5 linked regions of the Mus musculus genome follow. The protein of the gene in region 1 interacts with the protein of each later gene in a pairwise test. Links are inferred from orthologs where the notes say so. Each region holds a gene or a part of one and is shown in the gene's direction. Other genes may lie near its edges.

Region 1 (4,050 bases):
AACAACTAATCACATTCAAACTAGGCAGACAGGCTTATTTAACAGTGCACATGGTAGTTTAACTACACAGGAACAAAGGTACTCATAAACAGGACATGATAAGAATCAAAGATAGGATGTTTACAAGTGGACACCCTGTATACATTTTATAAATCTTTTTTTGGGGGGAGGACATTCTTTTTTCTTTTTTATTAAATTTATTTATTTTTTTCACTTTACATCTCAATATCAACCCGCTCCTCTCCTCCCAGTGTCCCCTCTCCTAGGTCTTTCCTCCATTCCACCTTCTCTTCTCTTTTGAGAATAAAAATCCTCACAAAATAACATCCTCCTCCACACACACACACCCAACAAGTCAAACCCTCTCCAAATGAGGACAGACAAGCCAAACCATTTAGAGTAACTGGGTCCTCAAGCAGGCAGGCAGCAGACACAGGGACAGCCCTTGCTCCAGTTGTTGGGGAACCTCCAAGAAGACCAAGCTGCACATCTGCTACATGTGTGCAGGAAGGCCTAGGTCCAGCCTGTGCTTTCTCTTTGGTTGGTGTTTGCAAATCTTGTTAACAAAATTGCTTGTCAAAGAGAAGTCTTTTGTTGCATACTATTTATTTATTTAATGAAAGTGAGTCTACCTGTGAGTCTTTTAGACTTGGAACCCAAATGACCTCCTGCACGGTGGCCCACAGAGTCAGCGTTATTTCTCCGAGTGAGATTTAAATGAGCAAGGAAATGTGTTAACCAACCAGACACTCCTCACCCCCAGAGCTTCCAGGGACTAAACCACCGACCAAAGAGTATACATGGAGGGACCCATGGCTCCAGACGCATATGTAGCAGAGGATGGCCTTGTCAGGCATCAAAAGGAGGAGAGACCCTTGGTCCTGTGAAGGCTGGAGACCGCAGTGTAGGGAAATTCGAGGGAGGGGAGATGGGAGTGGGTGGGTGGGTGGAGGAACACCCTCATAGAAGCAGGGGGAGAGGAGGATGGGATAGGGAGTTTTGAGGGGAGGGAGGCGGGAACGGGGATACCATTTGAAATGTAAATAAAGAAATATCCAATAAAAAGTAAAAAAAGAAAAAAAAATGTGTTAAGAAAGGATCACTTTAAAGAAGCTGATGGCCACAGACCCACAAAGGAACACTGAATTAGATGAACAGGCTGCCTGCAGAAAAGTTTCAGCTGGAGCAGGCCAGCCCTGAGGGCTGAGCATCTGTTCTCCACTGTGGCAAGCTTTGCTCCCTCAGCCTTCCTACTTCCAGGTGGAAGAACTGGCGGGACCCCGCAGCGAAGCTCCTGGGTCACGCCCTGCTCCTCCTCAGCCACATCCACTCTGGCCACCAGTCCCACCCTGACCACGCCCCCACGCCATCCCGCACCCTTCCCAGCCACACCTTCCTTACCGCACTGCGCTAGCGCACAGGTTTGTAAAGTGACCCTGTGGGTGGAGTTTCTGCCGCTGGCTGGGACCCCTCCATTTATTGCCCAGGGTCCGCACTCCTCTGAGGACCCGCACTTCCTGCTCAGCCTCTCTGTGCAGCTCCGTGGAGCCGATCCGAGACTGAGACCGAGACCGAGACCGAGACCGTCCAAGCAGTTAACCATGGTGGAAGAGCTGCTGTCGCTTCTGCACGCGCTTCTGGATAGGCACCAAGCCCTGTGCATGGAGAACCACCAGCTCCTGAAGCAGCTGCGACTGTTGGTGTGTGAGCGGGCCAGGCTGCTGCGCCAGGTATGTCCACCGAGCTGTCCGGTGCCCTACCCCTCACGGTTTAGCGGCGAGAGTGGTCGGCTCCCTGAGTTTATCATGCAGACCATGTCTTACATGCTTGCGAATGAGGAGCACTTCTGCAATGATGCCATGAAAGTGGCATTCTTGATCAGCCTCCTCTCCGGGGAAGCTGAGGAGTGGGTGATGCCTTACATCGAGTCAAATAGCTACGTCCTCGGTGATTATCAGGCCTTTGTTGATGAGATGAAGCAGTATTTTGGCTGGGGTACCGACGACGAAGATGATGGTGATGATGATGAAGAGGAAGAAATGGAGGAAGATCACTAGGCCGGAGCCCCCTTAGGCCTAGAGGTGGGGGCCTTCACGCCTTTTCATTCCAACCCCCCACCCGCCATTCCTGCTGCCTCAATCTCTCCCTTTGCATGGCCATCCTCTTCCCCGCCAGTCTGTTTGCTCCATCATTCCCTTCAGGACTTGTCTTTGTTCCAGTTACCTGCTGTGAGTTGGGCCTGGACCTTGCTCTGAAACTCACTTTGGCCTCAGGCACTTATCCTAATCTGAACTCTGTTCGGAGTTCCAGCGATTTTCCAGGTCCCTATTAGAACTGGTCAGACCACCTGCATTCCTGCTGCTGACATCCACTGGAACTCAGGCCAGTCCGCCATCTGCCCAGAAGCAGATTCCTGACATTTCACCTCCACTCACCGAATTTCATCTGAAGCACTTTTCAAGATAAGGACCAAGAAGATGATGGAGTTGCTACTCCACCCATTCAGACTCTGTTTTGGACTACTCACCAAACCTTGAAGGGGCCAGCCAGTCTTTACCGACTGGTTAGTTCTGTACGTACTACCAGGTTCCACATCTGCCTGACCAGAACAGGAACCTGATGTGCCTGCCGGACAGTTAAAATGTTGACATGTCTTTTCTCCTATGCATCAGTTTTGCACAGCACGTTTCCTTTCAGAACTGCAGCAGCCTCACAGATGTGTCCATGTGGACAAGGACTACTAAAATAAAAGCAAACGGACAGGCATTCAGCCCAGATCCTCTCTAGTACTTGAAAAAAGCAATGTAATTCTTTGCAATAAATATCAAGCACTGCAAAACTAGCAGCAAACTGTTGTCTTTTCATGGTTAAGTGCTACCATTGGCTATTGTGACTCACCTCCATTATTTCATTGTGGTTGGGGAACTTGGTTCAATCCCAGTATTCTCACTTTCATTTTTGGGCTCCAGGGGGCCCTGTCATAGGGTTTTAAAAGCTGTGGTGAAGGAGCATTGTCTGGGGCTTCCAAGGTGACATATAAAGGGTGGCTGGGTAGGGGGGCTATCATCTTAAATTAGGTCACTTTGGAGAAATAAAGGGACATTATTAACATTTAGACTGACAGTAGAGGCATATTACTGGGCACAGTGAAGTTTCCTAACATGGCAGAGAAGTTTTATCCATTGTCCTTCTTTCCTGTGGGTGGCAATTAGCAAGATGCTTATGTCTCCTGAGCTAGAACCTGGACTGGAGTTTGTGAGTTGACATCTCTCAGACAGTCCAGAGGGTAGGTACTGAGAATTATCTGCCCAGCTTTGTTTGTGTGTCAGTCCATTATGTTACCCTGCTGAAATGAACTTGGTAAAGGGGTATACACGGTAACCAGGAAATATTGGAAAGATCTAGGGTTTCCTGAATCTGCCTGAATGTCATTTTACTGGTTTAAAAGCGAATTCAGACATAGAACTTTTAATTAATTTAAATAATACATCGTGGTTTAAGAGTTTCAGGCATGACCACACTTATTTATTAAGCTGCTAAACCTCAGGGAGGAATGAAATGGGGGGCGCTGGTCATCATATGAGTAACCTGACAGGTGTGGGCTAGATCCTGTCCACAGGCATTTGGAGCAATGCCAGCTACATTTTTAGCACCCTATAAGCATGGGTAGTTCCTTCCAGGCCATAGCAGCAAAGGCTCAGCTAGCAGCATGCTTGCTTGAGGACTGGCTGTAATAGGAATATGTCAAGGTTACCAGGAACTAAGTAGAGTGGAAATAAAACTGTGACAGGGGCCCATTCTCTTTGGGGCTCTTACAAGATACCAGCAAGACAAGTGTTTTATCTGGTAAATACACAAAGATCAGAGCGGGAGTCTTTTTCAGGCCTCAGGACACTTACTTTCTTGAGAGTGGAGACAGATGGGGGTAGGGAAGACTCAACAAAGAGGCCAAGGTCTGCGTGGAAATGGGGCTCTTCCAAAGCTGCTGTGCCCAATGCTGATGAATAAAGAGAATTGCAGTGATTTGGGTTTCAGTTACCACATTACCTC
Region 2 (4,871 bases), on another chromosome or scaffold:
GGGGTCATGACATCCAGGCTGAGGACAGGTGTGGAGAGTAGTTAAAGATGAGGAAGAGATGAGAGGGGCAGTGTTGAGTCTCCAGTTACACGGGGGTAGCTACATTTCCCACCTTGGTGCCTTCACGTATGCTATATGCTTTTACAGGAACATTTCTTCTTTATTCTTCCATGAGAGTTCTGTGCAATTGGCCATTTCTTAATCCAAGAAACCCTTCCTGATCCTTGCTTGGAACATAGGCTTCCTGTGGGCCTTGTATAGCTCTCTCAGCACCCCCAAATGACAGATTTCATACTGGATTGCTTTTTGTCTATTAAAAAGAAACACTACAAAGTTCCATCAGGGCAAGACCTGTGGCATGTTAACCTAGGCATGAGAGCTGAGAGAAGTCAAGGTCACTGGAGCCAAGGAGATCAGAGAATGAAAGGACACTTGGAGGTGATATCAGAAAGGCACAGGGCCTGTGGAGTGAGAGGGTGACAGACCTAGAGTGAACTTCGCCTTTGAGGTGTGGCTTGGGCCTAAGGAACATGGTCTTCCCTGTGTTTTAACAGAATCTCTCTGGTTGTAGGGTGAAACCAGTGTAGCATACAAGGCTGATGCCAGGCAACCAAGAAAAAAAAAATGACAATGGTTTGGGTCATGGTACCAACCAACATGGCAAAATTTATTTGTCTACAAAAAAGTATTGGACTTCAAGAAACATGGAGAAACAACAGGTGGTTAAAAAAATCTTGATGGAGATTGGGGCACAAGTGGCTAGCATTTGTCAGTTATCTCTGGGCTCTAGATGTGGTCAAAAGCTGTGTTTACTTGGGTGAAGTCATTTCACTCTTTCTGCTCTTTATATCACTCGCAAAGTGAGGATGGGTAATAAAATATACCCCATGAATTTGTTGAGAGGGGATGTAAAGGTTTTGGCACAGGATTTAGCATGCAATCAACATACATATAAATGCTATCCTAGAGACCAAATTACCAGTTCCCAGGGGCACCTCTATTGCTCACTGGCTGATTGTGACACGATTTCCAAATCTATGTAGTGGCAGAGTACTGTCATCAATACCAACTGTATAATACTGGATCTGGAAATTTTGATAAATGCATTAAAGTTTAGCATGTAGAATAAAGTGCTATCAGGCAAGAAGTACTGCAGGCATGCTAATAAATTACGATGAAAACATCTAAGACAGATTGCCTAAATTTTCCCCCGGCCTAGTACACACTCCACTTCGCAGATGAGAAGTCTACTGTAGTTGGTAGAAGGCAGTCTCTCCCCAGGAACGAACAGCCTGGCACTCAGCAGTCGCCTGCTGCAGGCAAAAAGGCTTTGAGAAGATAAGCCCTAGCCTGCGCGCTTCTTAGTGGAACCTTCTAGTTCGGTGCAGGTGTTTCCAGCCCGGAGCACGCACAAAGTCAACAAGTATTTCCGGTGCGCGTCTCTGCGTTTCCGCGTTTCCACTTTTCCGCGCAGGTGCGGACAGAGCCGAAAGCGAAGGCGGCATCAAAAGGCGTCGCTGCCGCTCGCGGTCCCGCTTCTCTTAGGCGGAGCGGCTTTCTGCATAGTCCCCTCCTTTTCTTCCTTTCCCACAGAAGCCGCAAACATCCATGGCGGGTCTCGAGGTTCTCTTCGCGTCGGCCGCTCCATCCATGAGCTGCCCGCAGGACGCACTCGTCTGCTTCCTGCACTGGGAAGTGGTGACAAACGGCTACTATGCCTTGGGCACGGGCGACCAGGTACGCGGGTGGAGGGGAGTCTGCAGCCCGAGGCCCAAAGGCCTGCCCTGACCGTGCCAAAGCCAGGGCCCGAGCGAGGCTTCTGATGCCGCACTTTAGCGCGCCTGGTGCTGGTGCCGACAACGGGCACAGCGTGCGTGTAAACTCGGGAACGGACGTGTAAAGGCGTCCCCGACACAGCCGGGGTTGTGTGGATCTGACTGAGACAGGCTAGTAGCTTCCTCAAGGTCCTCATCCACCAGTTTACCCAAAGCATCTGCCGTAGAATACTCCGTGCTACACCCTCAACTCCAAGCATCTGGATTCAAGCACTGGTGTGGCAGTGAACTTTGACCTACTCAGCCATATTCTAGGACCCCTTCTTCGAGGGGACAGTGTTTGGATTTCAGACTTGAATGCTGCGTTTGATTCTTGCTGTCCGTTCTCCTGAAGTACTTTCTGGGCTCAGGCTGCCCTTGCCTCCATTCTCTGCTGATGGGTATGCGTTTTCAGGGTAGAAGCCAAAAAAAAATTTTTTTTAATTAATTAGTTAAAAATTGAGAGGCCATTAACTGTTAATTTATCTACTAGAGAGTTTTATTTTCCAGCCTGTGGCCAGCAGATTAGTAATGCTTGCTGGACTCAGCAGGTATTTGTGTTGGTCCTCTAGCTGCCTCCTGCCACCCTCCTTCTGTGGGTGATGAGAGGAACAAAGCACGCACTTGACTGGGTAATACCAACTCAGCAGCTAAAGAGTCATGCTGCCCACTTTCTCTTTGCTTTTTTGCCTCCAGTGCTATAGAGCTGGGCTTGTAATATTTGATCTCAAGAACATGTTTGTTGACTTGAACAAACAGGCATTGATTGGTCTCCTTATTGAGGGCACGGCTACTCCCCATGAGAGCTCTGTAGCCGTGTGAGATAAGGTCAGTGGAGGGCCATGGAGATGGCCATAGATACGAGTTAGAAAAATTGGCATTGTGTTGTGGGAGTCTGAAGATTATAAAGAGAGAATGACCTGTTTATGTGTGCAGTTTTGGTTGGTTGGTTGGTTGGTTGGTTGCATTCTAGCCCAGAGGCACTAGGGTGAGCCCAGTGGCCATTAAGGAATGTTTCTAGCCTCAGGATTTTGTCTATAGAAGACAGCTAGCTTTACCTTTCTTTACCTTACCAGTCTGTCTGGAAGAATCTCCAGCCTGCCCTGCTCTAACCTTTCATAGGTCGCAGCCACTCTCAGGCCTTTGAGTCTTCATCTGAGGAAGTTACATGGTACAAACATATGCTTTCGTTATCTGCCAACCATAGCCTTGTGGGACACTTGATATTTTATATCAAGGTGCAGAGGACAGCCACATGATGTGTTGGGCCTGTCTAGCTTCTGTTTTCTGTGGAGTATCCGTTTCACCTTACCACAGTGAGGCTGTGAGCTTTACCTGACCCTAGCGATTATTTCTTGCTCCGGAATGAAGGTGTCGAGGTGGGGAGCAGAGCAGGTTGTCTGTAAGTCAAGAGCGCCTGCTGGTAGGGCCAGTGCTGTCCATGTAGGACAGGAGAGAGTCAAAGGTCTTGACTGAACACAGGTAAGGTCTGCCAGCCCTGCCTTAAACACCCGAGTCACCCTTGAAGTCCACACCACACTAGGAAGTTACCCAGAAAGGCAAGAGGGTTTCTCAGGCTGTGGCTAGCTTCAGTTTTGTTTTCTCCTTACTCTCCTGTCTCTGCTGAGGCTACCAGTCTCCTTGTCACCTAGCCAAGTTTGATTGTGACTCCTCTGGCAAAGGATTTCCAAACACCAGGGGTGGCCTCCCCTGCACTTGCTGTGTAAAGTCCTTCATGTGTGGGCCTTTGTCAGTGTTGTCCATCGCCCCACTCCTTCCCATCCCATCCCATCCTACCATGCTCTCATGAACACAGCTTCTGGTCGTGCTGTTTTGTGTTGAATGTGTGCTTTTTAAAGGGTTTTTTGTTTTTCCATAAATGGTATTGGACCATAAACTTTTTCTAACTCCTCCCACTCCCCCTGTAAATTCCCACTTTGTGACTTCTCCCTCTGTACCCCACTCATAACCAACAGAGTCCAGTTAGTGCTTCCTGACAGAATATTGCTTATTTTGGTGACTTGCTCTTACGAAGATGGTATTCATGGGTGCTCTGTGCATGTGTCCAGAGGGGAGAGTTTCATAGAATTACTCCTCCTCCTGGTTCTTTACTGCCAATACACACACACACACATGACGTTTTCTCTAGAATACTATAATTTGATCTAGTGTGTTCCTTCTGACTGCAGTGTAATGTGCCACTGTCAGCATAGTGTGCACTTTACCTCGGCTTCAGCTGTTCAGGCTCACACTGGAATGAAGGTTGACATTGCTTATCAGGCTCCCACATGTATCCACAGCTTCCTTCTAGGAGGACGTTTGAGTCTTGGCTCATACAAACCTCATAGAGCTAAGTACTGCTAGGTGGACTCCCAAAGGGCCTGTGTAAGTCTGAATTCCCAGAAGTAGTGTCGAAGGTTCACTCATGCCCAGTCAAACTAAGTCTTAGGCTGGTGGTTGGGTGTGACCTTCATTCATATAATATATATATATATATATATCTTTTCTGGTTTTTTTTTTTTTTTTTTTGGTTTTTTGAGACAAGGTTTCTCTGTGTTCCCCTGGCTGTCCTGGAACTCACTCTGTAGACCAGGCTGGCCTTGAACTCAGAAATCCACCTGCCTCTGCCTCCCAAGTGCTGGGATTAAAGGTGTGTGCCACCACTACCCGGCTCATCTCATTATTTTAGCTGCCCCCTGATAACTAGTAAATTTGAAAAAACAAACACCATTTGTGATGGTTTGTATATTCTTGTACCAGGGAGTGGCACCATTTGGAGGTGTGGCCTTGTTGGAATAGGTGTGACCTGGTTGGAGTAGGTGTATCACTGTGGGTGTGGGCTCAATACTCTCACCCTAGGTGCCTGGAAGTCAATCTTCCACTAGTAGCCTTTGGATGAAGATGTAGAACTCTCAGCTCTGCCTGTGCCATGCCTGCCTAGATGCTGCCATGCTCCCACCTTGATGATAATGGACTGACCTCTGAACCTGTAAGACAGCCCCAATTTAATGTTGTTTTTATAAGACTTGCCTTGGTCATGGTGTCTGTTCACAGTAA
Region 3 (4,984 bases), on another chromosome or scaffold:
TGGGAAGATACCCCAGACGTTTTTCATTTGAAAAATCCGAAAAATAGCTATAGAGCTATTATATAACAGTAAAGAATACGGTTGGGTCACTTGGATAATTTTTGGTTTTGGTGTGCATCAATAACTGCTTCCAAATGCTACCGAAATTCTTAAGGATATGAAAACATATGAGAGTAGAAAGCTTCATCCACAAAATTGTCTTAGTAAGTATTTTAAGGCAGGGATAGCACTTCAGAGTTTAGGGTGAATCGAAGATGTACTTTAGCCTTTTTTTTTTTTTTTTAATGTCAAACAAAAACAACTTCTGCAACCACAAGTCTTCCCGCAGGTAATTCTTTTCATGACTAGAGTCAAAAACAAACGAGACAGAGACATCTGGGGTAGGGGGAGCGTTAAAAGGAGGCTTCACAAGTAAGATATGAAGGGAGTAGAGAGAATAGGTTTTAAAAGCAGAAAACACAAGGCGAGGAAGAGATCATGGTTTCTTATTTTTCTCTCCTCCCTCCACTTTCTCGCCTCACCAATCTGTTAGCCCACCTCAAATTTAGAGGCGGGTTCAGCGAGACCAGGCTGCAGGAAACCCAAGTTTCCCTGCATTGCCACCCTGGCTATATGATGTAATTGTTATTTATTGAGACTCTGAACCCAGCAAGAGCTGCTTTAAAGAAGTGACAGCCCATCTCCTAGTCCTGTTGGGTCAGATCCTTCCTGGGGGTGGTGCAGTTTGGCGGGCAGACCCTGCTGGAGACTTCGCAGTGACAAAGCAGCAGAAGAGAAACCAGGTTCCTGGGTCCTGCGTCCGTCTAGGGAGCTAGCTGTGCACTCCTCAGGTCTCCTTTCCAGTTTTCCGCTTGGAATCATGCCATATTTATCACTGGGTCCTACTAGGTGCTGAGCATGGGGTCAAAATGACCTAGAGTTATACAGCGCCGCAGCTTCCGGGATTTGAGCGGGACACAGATTTTAAGGAGGTGGAAATTGAGGGTGGGTAAAGGGCGCCAAAAGAACGCGTGTTTGTGGGGTGAAACGGGAGAAAGGGAGACACTTAAGGTGCCAGCACGTAGGCTGGGGAACCTGGGGTAGGATTAAGGTGCCCCGACGCCCCTGTGGTGCCCCCAGCGTTTGCCCCGGCACGGGTGACATGGGCGATCGCCTGGCCCCTAGCGGGGAATCTGTCCAGGCGGCTGGCTGGACGGGGCTGGGAAGCCAGGGCGCCGGCTCGGGAAGCACAGCACCCCCTCCTTCTCCGGGTCCAACCGCGTCCTCTCTCTGCCTTCAAGGCCGATCAGTCCCGGACCCCCACCCGGAGCACCGGCGAGGAGGCCTGCAGACGCCCGGTGGGCTCCCCGGCTCCGCCGAGCCTCCGGGTGCGCGCTCGGCCCGGGTGACAATGGGAGGGAGGGGCAGAAAAGGGTTAAGAAACTTGGCTGAAGAGCTGAATGGCGTGGAGCAGCGAGGGGAGGGACCCGGCCGCCGCGAAGTCGGCGGCGGAGGGAGGAGCGCGGCTGCGGCGGGCGGGCGGCGAGCGAGGCGCTCAAAGTCAGCCTCGCAGACATTGCAGCAGAGCCCCGAACTCGGGAGGCGACGGCGACCGCGGCGCAGGCGGAGGACGAGCCGGCCCCAGCCCGCCCGAGCGCAGCGCCCGTGGCCTCGCGCGGCCGCAGGGCACGGCTAACCTGGGAAGGAGGGAGCGACGCGGATCGGCGGCCCGGAGCCGCGGCGGCCTCGGTGAGTGGCAATCGCGGCCCGGGCTCCGTGCGGAGCTCGCGGGAGCGGACGCCGCGCCGCCCGGGCACGGCCTGGGTGCGCGGCCCGTGGAGGCGGCGGAGGCCGGGGGAGGCCCGCGGGGAGCTCCGGGAACACGGATCCCGGGGACAGCCCTCCGCCGCGCCCCGCTCCGGCTCTCCCCTGGAACTCGCGGGCCCGGCCGGCGCAGCCGCCAAGTTGTGGAGTTCCCAGCCGCGGGCTCGTCCGTGCCAGCCTTGGCGCGAGGGGCGCAGCCGCCCTGGGTGTTCTGCGCCGGGACCCACGCGGGTGGCCGGGTCGCGGGGCCCCGGTCGAGCTCGCCCGCCCAGCTGCCCCCGTTGGCCCCGAGCCCCGGGCGCTGGCTGCCGCGCCGCTCGGTCCTGCCGCCCAGCGGTGCTCTCGGTGGCGCCCGCGCTGCTCCCCGCCTATCGCTGCCGTCTCCCTTGCGCGGTGCTCGCCGATCCCCGGCCGGGAAAAGTGACTCGGAGAAGGGGCAGCACTGAGCCCCAGGCCCGGCCTGCTGGGCACGAGCTCCCCGCTTGCCGAGGGAGGGCGAGGCTCCTTGCACCCGAGGCCTCAGCCCAGTTCCCCCAGCATCCGAGAGGGGGTTCACTCGCATGAGCCTGGTAAAGTCCGGGGAGACCGCTCTCCTCTCTGGTGCCACTGTCCTCCTTTAATACTATTGTTGTTAGAAGAAACCCTCTAGCGTGCAAACATTCCCCAGACCCTCCTATCCCTTTCCAAAGTACTTTCCAAATTTTAATCAGGAGTTGATATTCAGACTGAAGGAACAAAGGAATCCACTGTGTTTAAAAGGCGGACAGGCAGAGAGTCTGACACATGTTGATCTCTAAGGCATTCCAGGAGTTTCTACCTTCCATCATGTCAGTAATTTAACTGGATTCTGGAGGTCGTAAACGAAAAACGGAACGTTAGGTAATTTCACGTTAAAATACTTTGTCGTCGTCGTTGTTGTTTTAATTAATGGGTCATTTTAGTTGGGGGAAAGTCCGGACATGATTAGGTGCAAGAACTTTTAACTCATTTTTTTGTGGCACCAGGCTGGAGTTTGTCTGCTCATGTAAGCTGATTGTGACACTGAAGGAAAACCGTGTTTTTAGAGAAAGAGAGACAGACTAAAAGTAAACCAAGATTGGCATGTCTGTCTGTCTGTCTGTGTCTGTGTATACGAATACATGCTTAAATGATGTGTGGTCTGTGTTTCTTGGGTTTTGTAAAGCAGGGGCTTTAGTAATTCTTTAAAGTTATGAATTACATTGAACCCGCTTATTAGTGAATCACAGGTTTAGCAAGTGGGCGGCATCTTCCAGATGCAATTATCCAGTGTTTAATCATCAGGTTGCCACCTTTGTCTAAGAGTGAAATAAGTCGACTTTTTAAACAAACGGTGCTTCCTATGCACGGCCCCTAAGAGTGGCTGCTGTCTGGAGTATGTTGAAATCTTCCACTTCCAAGTGAGTTGCCCTGGTTTTGCCCAGCAGTTTGGTAATATCCAACAGGGTTTAATTGATTCAGGGACTTCAAAACCAACAGGAAATTTCTGTACAGGACTTAGTTACTGTAGACAAAGAAGGAGAGTCAGAATTGTAGCAGGCAGTACCTGCAAACCAGATACTTACTCCAGCCTGTTTTATAATAACTCTACTGGGGACACTTCTCTCCACACTTAGCCTTTCAGGGACTGGAGCATGAAGAAAATATACTTAAAAAGTAGACATACAAACTCTAAGGAGGGAAGTTCGGTTGCTGCTTGTTTGTATACAGATGAGTCCTGTGAAGTGCCTTCAAGATACTTGGAAACCAGGCTTCAGTGGCTACGAGAAGACTTAGAGCCACCTATCTGTGTTTCCAAACTTTGCCGAACTTGAATTTTTATAATCGAGAGATCTGAAAATATTGTGCGTTAGCAATGGCAAAATGTTTGTGGATAAGGCCAAGGCTTTGACTCCTACAGCTTTAAGAGCAAAACATTGTGATTAAAAAATAACCTATACCACCACCTAGAGTCTGTTTGTTAGTCTATTGCTCTTGGAGTCTGCTTACGTTGACACATCCCTTATGGTTCCTGTATAGTCAAAACATGATTAGAAGTTTAGGCTTTCCAAAGGCCATCCCGGAGAACAATTATTTCAGTAATGCATAGCAAGTGCCAATTTAAATTACCCATGCCGCTTTCGGAATCAAAAATTATGACATATCAACTCAAGTGGGCTAGTCTCCAGAAGATATTAACTCAAAAGAAAAAAAAAATTTTTTAAAGATAGCTTCTTTTAGCTTGTGCTCCAAGGTGGCTCTGACTGTGCAAAGATTTTCCTGTGTTATTAGAGATTCAAGAAATATTACAAAATAAGTGTTCTCAGTGCCTTGAGAGGTTCTGGGGTGGGGAGGTGGGGGACAGAAGCTATGATTAAAAAAATATAGAGAGGGAGGAGTGGTGCCACTTACCAACAGTTTGGATGTGGAGAAGGTTAGGGAGTAGAGAGTCGATGCCTGTGAGATCATGTGTTTGAGCATACAGTCAGTGTGAAGGGAAGTGCTATACAACCTGTCCTGCTGGAGGACTGTTTGCAGGGAAGCAGTCTGTTAAACAGGAGGCCTGAAGGAGGCACCCTCTGCCATGTGGCTTATCACATTGTCCAAGGAGGGAGTAAGGCTCCTCCTTCCACGGTGTCGCCTGAAAGATGGCCTCCCAGATCTTTAATTAAATATCAGCCGAACAGAGAGAACTAGAGCACTGCATTAATTCTGCCAGACATCACTATTTTAGAACATTGAGGACAACCAAAAAAAATGAATTAACTCCTATCTGAAAGCAGAGTTTTGAGGAAGGTGACAGATGAGGCAAAATATGTCAATCTAATGGAACACATAGGGAGAGCAGGATAGATCTGCCATCCCTGGCTCTCCAGACAGTTGAGAGGAAAAGAGGTTATTCTTAATCACTTACATTCATCGCAAACCAGCAGCAGAAGACCATGACACGGAGATCATTTTAAATCAGAGTGGCTTAGGACCTAGGAGGTTAAAGGTGTTAGATTCTTTTTTTGGGGGTGGGGGGTGGGGGGGGTCTGAAGATGGCAAGTAACTCCTGTCTTTCCAGCACAGTAATAACACTTTGATGTATGAAGTTAAAAGATCGTTCAGCTAAAAATATGTTTAAGGCATTTAAATTTTAATCAGGAAAAAAAAATTGCTCATTTTAAAGTGCGACGAGTCC
Region 4 (4,997 bases), on another chromosome or scaffold:
TCCCCAACACACATGCCTGCATTTCTCTTTCCTAGCTTAAGGAAAGAGCCCTAGAGCCCTAGAGGGGCTCTAGGCTGGTGATCTTTTGAGGATGCTTCAACAGCAAAGCTCTGTCACATCCGTGGTCTCCTTTGGTCCCATAGTAGCCCTGTGAGGTCAACAGTGAGGCCCACCCCAGACTCAGGAAGGAGACCTCCCCGGGTCACATGGACACAAAGTATAGTTCTATGATGAGATATACTGGCCTCCAGGCCTGAGTCCAAACAGCAGAACCCCAGCCTTTGTTCCCAATGAAGACAGCCCAGGCCTCTGCTTCCCTGAGGACAAGTTTCTTCAGTCTCCATTGAGATGGAAGAAATCAGAGAAAGAGTTTTGGGACCCATGCTCTCCCAGTCTGCCATTCTTCGTGTACGTACAATGTAAAGGCTTGAAGCTCATGGCCTGACTTGGTCACCAGACTCAGCCACTTACTCAGTGGCCTTGAGCAACTCATTTCAATACCTGTCAGCCTCAGTTTTTCCCATCTGAGAAGTGGGGGTTATGATGGCATTTACCTCCTCAGCACACCTGGTCAGGACCTCACCCGTATCAAGGCCTTTCACATACTTCCAAAGTGGGCTGGTGACACACATAGTACTGGAGGAGTGCCTCCAGTCAGACCTTCAGTCAAGAAGCCTTACTGACTGTGTCTCAGGACACCTATGTCCTTCTGTAGGCGCTCTCTGCCTGTAGAGGCCTGGATTAAAGCTTGTGATAGCTCCAGAGACGGTCTCAAACATGTAGCGCCTTCTATCTGTGGGTACACTAAATGCCACTTCACGTAGTATTCAAATATAACAACATTTCATAACCCTGGTTTGTCAATAACCTTTCAGTCTATCAAAAACCTTGACAACAGTTGAAACTGGGTGTGGAGGGGCACATTTGTAATGTCTGCCCTCCACTTGAGAAGTGAAAGCAGGTTATTCTAAGCTACATAAGGAGTTCAAGGCCAACCTGCACAACAAGAGACCCTATCTACAAAAGCCAGGTGTGATGGTGGCACAGTCCAACACTTGAGAGGTGACGGAAGGATCAGGAGTTCAAGGGCAGCCTCAACTAGATACCTGAGACCCTGTCTCAACCAACCTCCCTCCACAAACCACAAGCAAAGCAAACTCAACTAAAGAAACTTCTCACCCCACTTGAGAGGAGCGGTCTTAAGTCAGGACTGCAGACTTGGGTGACAGTTGGAATGATTCTCTCCAGGTAAATAATGATGATGATAATAATAACCCATATTTATAATTCACTTCCCAGCTTTCAGACACTCTCCCCGTTCTTCTTTCTAAGTCTTGGCGCGAGGCCAGGCGGCCACAGGATTTTGTTTCGCCCTGTGTTGGGAACCTTGGCTAGTCTGAACGGGGCGGGGCGCAGTTGCAAGCCCCAACTTCGGCAAGGTGCGTCAGGGGGAATCCTCGGTGCACCTGGGCGCGGCAAGGAAATTGCACCATGTATGGGCAGCTGCGTCAGAGGGGGGCGTGGCCGCCGCGGATGCTAGGGGACGCCAAGTCGGTCGCTTTCTGTCTGTAGAGGCGGCTTGCCACCCGAGCAGAGGGTCGTGAAGTTCCGAGCGGACCGGTCCACAGAGGTTCATCTGGAGAGGTGGGTCCCCTGCGAGGTGAAAGGCGCCGCTGAGACACGCCCCCACCCCCCGTGGTGCAAGTGGTTCAGCCCAAGAACTTTTCATTCATAAAAAAGACCAGACTCCGAGAGGCGCGAGTGAGTCAGAACCGCAGCCGCCAACGCGGACCCTACCGAACATCCAGCCCAGGGCATGTACCGAGACTACGGGGAACCGGGACCGAGCTCCGGGGCTGGCAGCCCGTACGGTCGCCCCGCGCAGCCCCCGCAAGCTCAGGCACAGACCGCCCAGCAGCAGGTGAGACTGGCCGAATCGTCGGGGGGGGGGGGACCTGAGTTTGGACAGCATCAGGGATGCTGGGATTAGTCTAGTTTGCTCCGGGATTTGGACTGGGGCCCCGAGCAGCATCTGACTCTGGTGGTCGCGACCGAGGATCCTGCACGTTCTGTGTGGTCGGGGAACCTATGTACCCGGTGGCCAAGGGGACGAGCGCAGCGGGAAGCGCGAATATCTGCGAATTCCCCTTCTCGCTCGCCCGTATCTCCCTAGCTGACTGTCTTTCTGCCCCTCCGTCTCCGTTACGGTCTTACATTTCCTCCTATCTGCCCCTAATACGCTGTCCCTCTAAATACCTGCCCCATCCCTGCCTGGACAGGATCAGAGGTGTTCTCCATCTCCAGTTAATAACTGGGACCTGGGGTCTGGGCACATAGAGACGGGGTCCATCAGAACTCAGCCGGGACAGAGAATTCTTAGCAGCCTGTCCGAGGCTGTCCGTGTGTTGCTCTGGTTGTCCGTGTCCCTTTATCCGGTCAAGTCCTCATCTCTTTGTGCGCAGTATAGAGCCCATGGGCCCCAGGCAGTGGTTCCGAGGGGTTCCTGGAGACCACGAAGTGTTGGGATGTGCGCGGGGTCACCTGCCCGGCCACACTCGCGCTCCACATTCTCGGCACCCGACGTCTCTCACTGCTGGATAGGGGCACTTGAGAGGTTGCAGGTGTCCATTTCCTGTCGAGGGGCCGCGAGCACGTGTCGCCAGGGGAGGGAAGGAGCTGCGTCCGTTTCGCCGAGTCACAGCGGGCCGAGTCACTGAGGCTGAGTCACCCTGGGTGCCCCTCCCTTCCTGGCCCCAAACGGCCCCTAAGGACCGACGACCTGGGAGCGAGAGATGCCCCTGGCAGTGCTTCTAGCCCAGAACGGGGGTCACTGAGATGCTGGGTCCCCCAGTATTGGGCTGGGGACATAGCTGTCCAGACTTGCCTAAGCATGTGAGGTGCTTCCTGGACTGGAGGGGCCCCACATCCTTAGCTCACAGAGCTTGAACCCAGTTTTCTCTCCCAGAACGCTGAGCCCCCACCCCCACCGACACTCAATCCCAACACATGCCTCAGATTTCTGCAAGAAAAGGAAGGAAAGGATGCCAGACCCCTTATAGGAGGCTTTTACTCTCTTCACTTTATTTCATGGACTTAAAAAACCCCATCAATTTTGAACTTTCAAGTTTTTAAGTCGACAGCTAGGCATGCATTTAATCCCAGCATTCAGGAGGCAGAGGCAGGCAGATCTCTGGGAGTTTGAAGCCAATTTGGTCTACAAAGTGACTTCCAGGTCAGCTAGAGCTACATAATAGAGATCCTGTCTCAAAACTTAAAAAATAAAAAACAAAAACAAAAGCCGATTAAAACTCTGATTTCTGAGCTATGAGAGCTGGCTTCTCAACAGCAATGGAACGTTGAATGATGTTAATAACAGGGAAACTGAGACTAAATAACATGCCCCAGTCTCAAAGCCCATCAATGGCCAAGCTCCAAGCTGATGCTGGACTCCCAAGCTCTGGTGCTACATGTCTATAGTCTTGGTGCCTGGGAGGTAGAGGCAGAGGAATCGTGAGTTTAGGTCTAGCCTGAGCTATGTGAGATCCTGCCCACCCCACCCCCGGCCCCCAAACAACAAATTCTCATCCTGATTCTCAGAATTGCCTTGGGAGCTAGAAGCTGAAAGTATGCCCATCTGTGAGGACTGGGTCTCAAATCTTAGTTTCTACTTACTAGCTGTGGGTCTATGGGCAACTGCTCTCCTGTCTGAAAACAGGATTATGGCAGCTGTGTGAGTCACTATTTGTTAAATAGTTGGAACAGTGTTACGCAGTCCATACTTGATTTAAAACAAAAAACCAAACTATCTCTGGTGGGGAAACAGACAGACGAAGAGAGACATTTTGTGACCTGCCCAAAATCACACAGCTCCTGAACAAGTAAGTTTCTGGTTGCCAAATGTTGCTCCTTGTGGTCTCCCAAAACTGGTATCTACACTGAGGTGAAGGGAGACAGAAGTCCAGCCTCTGTCCCCGGGAAGCCCCTCAGTCCACACAGACCTTATCATTTCCCTTCTTATCTCTCAGAAGTTCCACCTTGTGCCAAGCATCGACAGCAGCAGCCAGGAACTGCACTGGATGGTGCAGCCTCATTTCCTGGGACCCACTGGCTATCCCCGACCTCTGGCCTATCCCCAGTACAGTCCCCCTCAGCCCCGGCCAGGAGTCATACGAGCCCTAGGGCCACCTCCGGGGGTGCGTCGCAGGCCCTGCGAGCAGGTAAGAAACAGCGATGTTTCACTTTCCATAGCCCGTAGGGGTCCTACTAGACAGGGACAGGATCTTGCTACGAGGGAATTTCTATTCAGCATTGAAGTTCCTGAGAGGCCAAGAAGGAGGTAAAAGGTCACCTTTGAGTCAAGGAAGGCTTCCTGGAGAAGGCTACACGTTAACCTAAACCACGGATAGGATTTGCGTATGGAAGCTGAAAAGAATCTTCTGGGAGGAGGGTTGGAGGCACAGAATTGAGGTGAAGGGGACAGAGTGTTAAGTGAGCATGTCTCCACTGTCTGACGTGCACAGGGTGGAAGGAAGCCTGATGCTGGCTTTGTACCTCGGGGTGACTCTTCTTTTCAACAGTCACGGAATCTCAGCCTATTTCTTTTAATTATCACAAAAAGTGAGTGGGCAGTGGTGGCTCACACCTTAAATTTCAGCACTGGGGAGGCAGAGGCAGGTGGATCTCTGGGTTCAAGGCCAGCCTGGTTTACAGAGTGAGTTCCAGGACAGCCAAGGCTACAGAGAAACCCTGTCTCAAGAAAGGGAAAAAAAAAGTGAATGGGAAATGTATTTCAATTTTTCCATCTTCCATCAGAGGAAGTGAAGCATAGAGGGGTACTCACTTGTCCAGATTCATACAAATGTGAGTAATGAGACAGGACTGGTCCTGGCCTGAGGTCTACTCAACTCCCAAAGTCAGAGCTTAATGAGCCACTGTCTCAATGGGAGCTCACAGAAGGCTGCAGAGGGAGTGAGCTGAGAACTTTTGCCTCCCTGAAT
Region 5 (4,917 bases), on another chromosome or scaffold:
TTACTGGCCTCTTGTAAGAACATGAATTTTTTACCTCGGAGCCCACCCCCTCCCATCTAGAGATTGTTCTCGGAACACTCCTAAACTTTTCACCCCAAAACTCCTCACCCTAAAGTTCGAAAAAACTGTTCCAAGAACATTTTTGAGATAAAGGCCTCCTGACGTAGATTCCTTGATAGGACATGACTCCTTAGTTACCTAGATTCCTTTGGCAGAACTCCCTAGTGATGTAAACTTGTACTTTTCCTGCCCAGTTCTCCCCCTTTGAGTTTTACTATATAAGCCTGTGAAAAATTTTGGCTGACTGTCGAGACTCCTCTACCCTGTGCTAAGGTGTATGAGTTTCGACCCCAGAGCTCTGTGTGCTTTCATGTTGCTGCTTTATTTCGACCCCAGAGCTCTGGTCTGTGTGCTTTCATGTCGCTGCTTTATTAAATCTTACCTTCTACATTTTATGTATGGTCTCAGTGTCTTCTTGGGTACGCGGCTGTCCCGGGACTTAAGTGTCTGAGTAAGGGTCTCCCTTCGGGAATCTTTCACTATGTGTCACACAAGTAAAAAACCACACAAAGTAAAAAACAAAAAAAAGCCCTTGGGGCGGGGAGGAGTGTTGATGGGCTCCTTTGATCTCTCGGTGGCAGAAAGGTGGTTAAGAATGGCAGAATTTGCCGGGCGGTGGTGGCGCACGCCTTTAATCCCAGCACTTGGGAAGCAGAGGCAGGTTTATTTCTGAGTTCAAGGCCAGCCTGGTCTACAAAGTGAGTTCCAGGACAGCCAGGACTATACAGAGAAACCCTGTCTCGAAAAAAGAAGAATGGCAGAATTAAAATTTAATCAGCCTTACTTTGGTTTTGTTTTTTTGAGACAGGGTTTCTCTGTATAGTCCTGGCTGTCCTGGAATTCACTTTGTAGACCAAGCTGGCCTCGAACTCAGAAATCCGCCTGTCTCTGCTTCCAGAGTGCTGGGATTAAAGGCGTGCGCTAGCTACCACGCCCGGCTCAGCCTTACTGTGAATTAGGCACAGGCTAAGTTACACACGTGCTACCCTGGGTTCACTGGGGCAAGACGGGTGAAGCCCAGTCAGTTGAGAGGTTGACAGTGACAAGTGATTGCTGATAAGGCTGGATTGCCATTGGGAGACTGACTTCCTTTAAGCGCCACCTAACGGCGAGTCACAGTCAGTGACGGGATATTAGTTTACTTGACTTCTGCAGAAAGCAAGGCTGTCTCGAAAAAACAAAAAAAGAAAAAGAAAAAAAAAGGCTCAACTCCAAATCGGTTCCGCTTTCAGCGTCTTCTCACAGCAACAGGCTTGGAAGCGTCCACCTTCATTCCACAGCTAGTCCTTCAGGTACAAGGAGTAATGACAAAGCTGCCCCGCCCTGGTCCTCCAGGCCCCGCTCTTCAGGAAGGCCACGCCCCCTGACTTCCGGCCCGTTTGAGCTATGGGTGAAAAATACTGCCAAAAAGTTCCTACTGCGCTTGCACTCAGTTACGCGCCTGCGCACTTGCGGCTCCCTTCAGACCGGACATAACGGTCCACGCGCTGCTTCATGGACCGGAAGTGGAGGGGAAGTGTCTCGGGGCGCGCCGGGCCTTGCTGAACGCCCGCAGTTCCTGCCGTTGCCGCCGCCCTCGGCTACTGCCGAGACCTTCCAAAGCCGCCATGTCCGCCAGCGCCGTCTACGTACTGGATCTGAAGGGCAAGGTACTGAAGGGTTCGCCACCCTCCGCGTTGCCAGGCAACCAACGGGCCCTCGCCCTGTCAGGACCCACCCTGTTGCTAGGCAACTGGCCGACCAGCCCAGCTAGGGCGTCAGGCAGGCGGGGCAGCCTCACTTGCCAGCCCTACCAAGTTACTAGGAAATGGGCGGTGGTCTTTCCGCGAGTCCCGCCCCATTGCTAGCCAACTTGGTGGGCTGCGGTTGCTAGGTAACTGTCCGCTTTGCCCCTTTCCCTTTTTGTTCGCCTGGGTACCGGACTCTAGCTTCTCCTGCGAACTCCTGTAGCAGGACCCTGCGCCCCGGGGACCGTGCGACCCTTGGCCAGAGGCGTGGCGGGAACTATGGCCTTAGGTCGGTCCCTCGCTCCACAGGCTTCAGCGTTCCCTAGAGCCACTGAGCTTCCTATGACATTAAGAGAAGCGGATGATAAAAGTGTGGTTTTAAGAAGGGCGTGGTGGCGCACGCCTTTAATCCCAGCACTCGGGAGGCAGTCAGGCGGATTTCTGAGTTCGAGGCCAGCCTGGTCTACAAAGTGAGTTCCAGGACAGACAGGGCTATACAGAGAAACCCTGCCTCGAAAAACAAAAACAAACAAAAGTGTGGTTTTAGAGGGGGAAACAGTGCCTAGAGTCACACTGATTACTGGGAAGTAGCGGCCTGGAAGCATCCTCGCCAGGCAGGTGCTAAGCCCAGGGCCACCGTGGGTTAGCCTAATCTGTCATAGCTCAACTTAGTCACTTGGAAAAAACAGAAATAGATGAATACCTATTGGGGCCATGTCTTCATAATGGACTAGCAGCTGCAACTGAAGAATCAGGGAGAGCTATCCTGACTGGGAATAACAAAGACTGCTGAGACATGAAGGCCCTGCACAGAAACAGGACCCTGGCATCTTGCCCAGCGTTATCTGAGAAAGAAATCTTCATTTGTGTGTTTCTGCGGGTGTGTGGAGGAAGGAGACCCCTGCTACTCTTACATGGGCTCTTGTTATCGAACTCGGGTCACTAGACTGATTGAGCTAGGCTGCCTGAACCGTTAAAACGCATGGATCTGCCTGTCTGTACTTCCCAGCAGAATCTGACTTTTTCCCTCTCTTGGTTTTATGAGACAAGTTTTCTCTGTGTAGCTCTGGCTGTCCTGGAACTCACTCTGTAGACCAGGCTGGCCTTGAATTTAGAGACTGACCTGCCTCTGCCTCCCAGGTGCTGGGATTAAGGTATTTGCCACCACCACCTGGTAAGCACCTGGCTGTTACCTGGGATTTGGGTATAGAGTTCAGGTCGGATATTTGGAAAATACAGACTGAGCTGTCTCCCTAGCATAATGGATGGTTTTGTGGTGCTGAGGATAGAGCCTAGAACAACAAGCTCTCTGTCAGGCAGCCACAGTGTACTCTATGCAAAAGCCTCTTCCAGGAAGGCACATTTAGCCTTAAGAAAGGCACTGTCTGTCGCTCTACCTCAGGCTGTCAGAGTGGAAGGCAAGTGGCCAGCCTCTTATGTTTGGAAGCTACCAGAACAGGTCCAGCCACAGTAAACAAGTCCAACATTTAGCAGTGAAAGAACATTGATGTCCAGTCTACATGGAAGAGCTAGAGCTTAGAAGAGCCCCACCCTCCACGTTTTCCTTAGTCCCTTGAGTGTGTACCTGCCTTGTATGTCACCCAAGATCGACAACTGGTGAGTTCCAGACCTGGGCCTCCTCCACAGCCTTCTGGGAAGCTGGGTAGGGGCAGTGTTCCCTAGGTCTCATGACATATGCTCTGCCTTCCAACCTGGCCTAGAGGTACAGTGGGCTGCCTGTCGTGGCTTGCTTGTTCCTTTAGCAAACATCTCATTGGCACAAGCAAGTACCCATCCTGGGCTGAAGCTGTAGAGCCATATTTACATGTGGATTCAGCCAATCTCCGCAGCTGAGCTGTATGATCATAGACAAGCACCTTGGCTCAGCACCTTGGGCAGTCTGAGCCTTGCTTTCCTAATGGATCTGAAGAGCCTTATCTGAGTTATTGAGTATAGATGTGAGACAAGCCTGGCCCTAGCAAGGTCAACAGAGCATAGTATTTGGGCTCCACAGGCCTCTTGACCTAGCAGAACACTTGGACCAGCAACTGAATAGCTATTTGCCTTCTGTTTGGCATTTAGAGAAGGTTATGAAAGACATCCAAGCAGAGCAGGCACCTGATGTGGTTCTGAGAAGGTGACAGATGTCCCAGTTGGCATGCCGGGTGTAAGTCAGCCCATAGACTGGTGCTGGGACTTTGGGGATGCAATGGGAGGAAGCTCCAGGGCCACTGCAGTTCCAGGCAGGAGTCCCCAGGTTGGGATGTGGTCAGACCTGTCTCTAGAAAGCTGTAGTTTCCTGCCTCCTTCTAAAATCAAACCAGCCTCATGACAACATGCCACACTGAGCCTCTCATTACCAAGGGATTCCATGTGGCTACTTTTGGCAAATAGGAGGTCCTCCAAGAACACTTGGATGCTGTCTGTGGCTCTGGTGACTCTAGATTTGGAGTACAGAAGTATTGCTTTCCCGCCTTCCTCTCTCCATGCTTCCCTTTTGGGCACTGAGAACAAAGTCCCAGTTGTTCACAAGGACTTGTATAGTCTGAGTTCTCATAATCTCCCTACCCTCCCACCCAGTGCTTTTCCATGTGACTCTGGCTCATTCCACTTTAGCCAGTGGGAACCCTAAAGCAGGTGTTGAGACAACCTGTCTGCTTCTGCCTTGGGACCTTTGTACCTGCATCTGTGGAGAGCTGTGTGGCCTGGCTTCAGTTCAACAACACCTCCTCCAGGAAGCCTCTCCTGCTTGCCCTAACTGGGATCGTATCCTACCCCACCCTGTGCACACTGCATCTTCTAGCCCATACTGCCTACTGCATTACATGTATGTTTTATCTGTCCATTCCTTTCTCCTCCGATGTTCCTGAGAAGGCACACCAAACTCATTCCATACTGGCTCCTGATGACCAGAGCAGAGCCTAGCTGTTAGACAGAACTCAGCAAGTTCCAAGGTGTTCTGCTGAGAAGGAAAAGGAGCCATGGAAAAGCTAACATGTCACATGCTTTGGTGGAGAGGGTCTGCGAGTGACAAGGTGTACTCAGAAAATGTCCAAGATGACCATAAGGCACCCTGGAGGCCCTGGGTCTCAGAGGTGGACAGCGCTGCTGCAGGGGAAGGGTGTAGGAA

What was found.
Region 2: the proteins of Ldoc1 (region 1) and Psmf1 interact in binary tests that used the Homo sapiens proteins (3 or more experiments, as listed by UniProt). The two-hybrid records come from large-scale screens. The link is inferred for Mus musculus from reciprocal best matches to the Homo sapiens genes LDOC1 and PSMF1.
Region 3: the proteins of Ldoc1 (region 1) and Nrip1 interact in binary tests that used the Homo sapiens proteins (3 or more experiments, as listed by UniProt). The two-hybrid records come from large-scale screens. The link is inferred for Mus musculus from reciprocal best matches to the Homo sapiens genes LDOC1 and NRIP1.
Region 4: the proteins of Ldoc1 (region 1) and Fosl1 interact in binary tests that used the Homo sapiens proteins (3 or more experiments, as listed by UniProt). The two-hybrid records come from large-scale screens. The link is inferred for Mus musculus from reciprocal best matches to the Homo sapiens genes LDOC1 and FOSL1.
Region 5: the proteins of Ldoc1 (region 1) and Ap1m1 interact in binary tests that used the Homo sapiens proteins (3 or more experiments, as listed by UniProt). The two-hybrid records come from large-scale screens. The link is inferred for Mus musculus from reciprocal best matches to the Homo sapiens genes LDOC1 and AP1M1.

Annotation. Positions count from the first base shown.
Region 1 is NC_000086.7:61,708,109-61,712,158, forward strand, and holds Ldoc1 (protein LDOC1), read left to right. Parts: upstream 1-1,502; 5' UTR 1,503-1,601; coding exon 1,602-2,057; 3' UTR 2,058-2,842; downstream 2,843-4,050. UniProt on the Homo sapiens protein: May have an important role in the development and/or progression of some cancers.
Region 2 is NC_000068.7:151,737,877-151,742,747, reverse strand, and holds the start of Psmf1 (proteasome inhibitor PI31 subunit), read left to right. Parts: upstream 1-1,437; 5' UTR 1,438-1,593; coding exon of another isoform or gene 1,594-1,608; coding exon 1,609-1,737; intron 1,738-4,871. UniProt on the Homo sapiens protein: Plays an important role in control of proteasome function. Inhibits the hydrolysis of protein and peptide substrates by the 20S proteasome. Also inhibits the activation of the proteasome by the proteasome regulatory proteins PA700 and PA28.
Region 3 is NC_000082.6:76,369,616-76,374,599, reverse strand, and holds the start of Nrip1 (nuclear receptor-interacting protein 1), read left to right. Parts: upstream 1-1,550; 5' UTR 1,551-1,728; intron 1,729-4,984. UniProt on the Homo sapiens protein: Modulates transcriptional activation by steroid receptors such as NR3C1, NR3C2 and ESR1. Also modulates transcriptional repression by nuclear hormone receptors.
Region 4 is NC_000085.6:5,446,135-5,451,131, forward strand, and holds the start of Fosl1 (fos-related antigen 1), read left to right. Parts: upstream 1-1,563; 5' UTR 1,564-1,816; coding exon 1,817-1,921; intron 1,922-4,025; coding exon 4,026-4,217; intron 4,218-4,997.
Region 5 is NC_000074.6:72,238,535-72,243,451, forward strand, and holds the start of Ap1m1 (AP-1 complex subunit mu-1), read left to right. Parts: upstream 1-1,483; 5' UTR 1,484-1,667; coding exon 1,668-1,709; intron 1,710-1,717; exon of another isoform or gene 1,718-2,076; intron 2,077-3,189; exon of another isoform or gene 3,190-3,404; intron 3,405-3,410; exon of another isoform or gene 3,411-3,954; intron 3,955-4,403; exon of another isoform or gene 4,404-4,917. UniProt on the Homo sapiens protein: Subunit of clathrin-associated adaptor protein complex 1 that plays a role in protein sorting in the trans-Golgi network (TGN) and endosomes.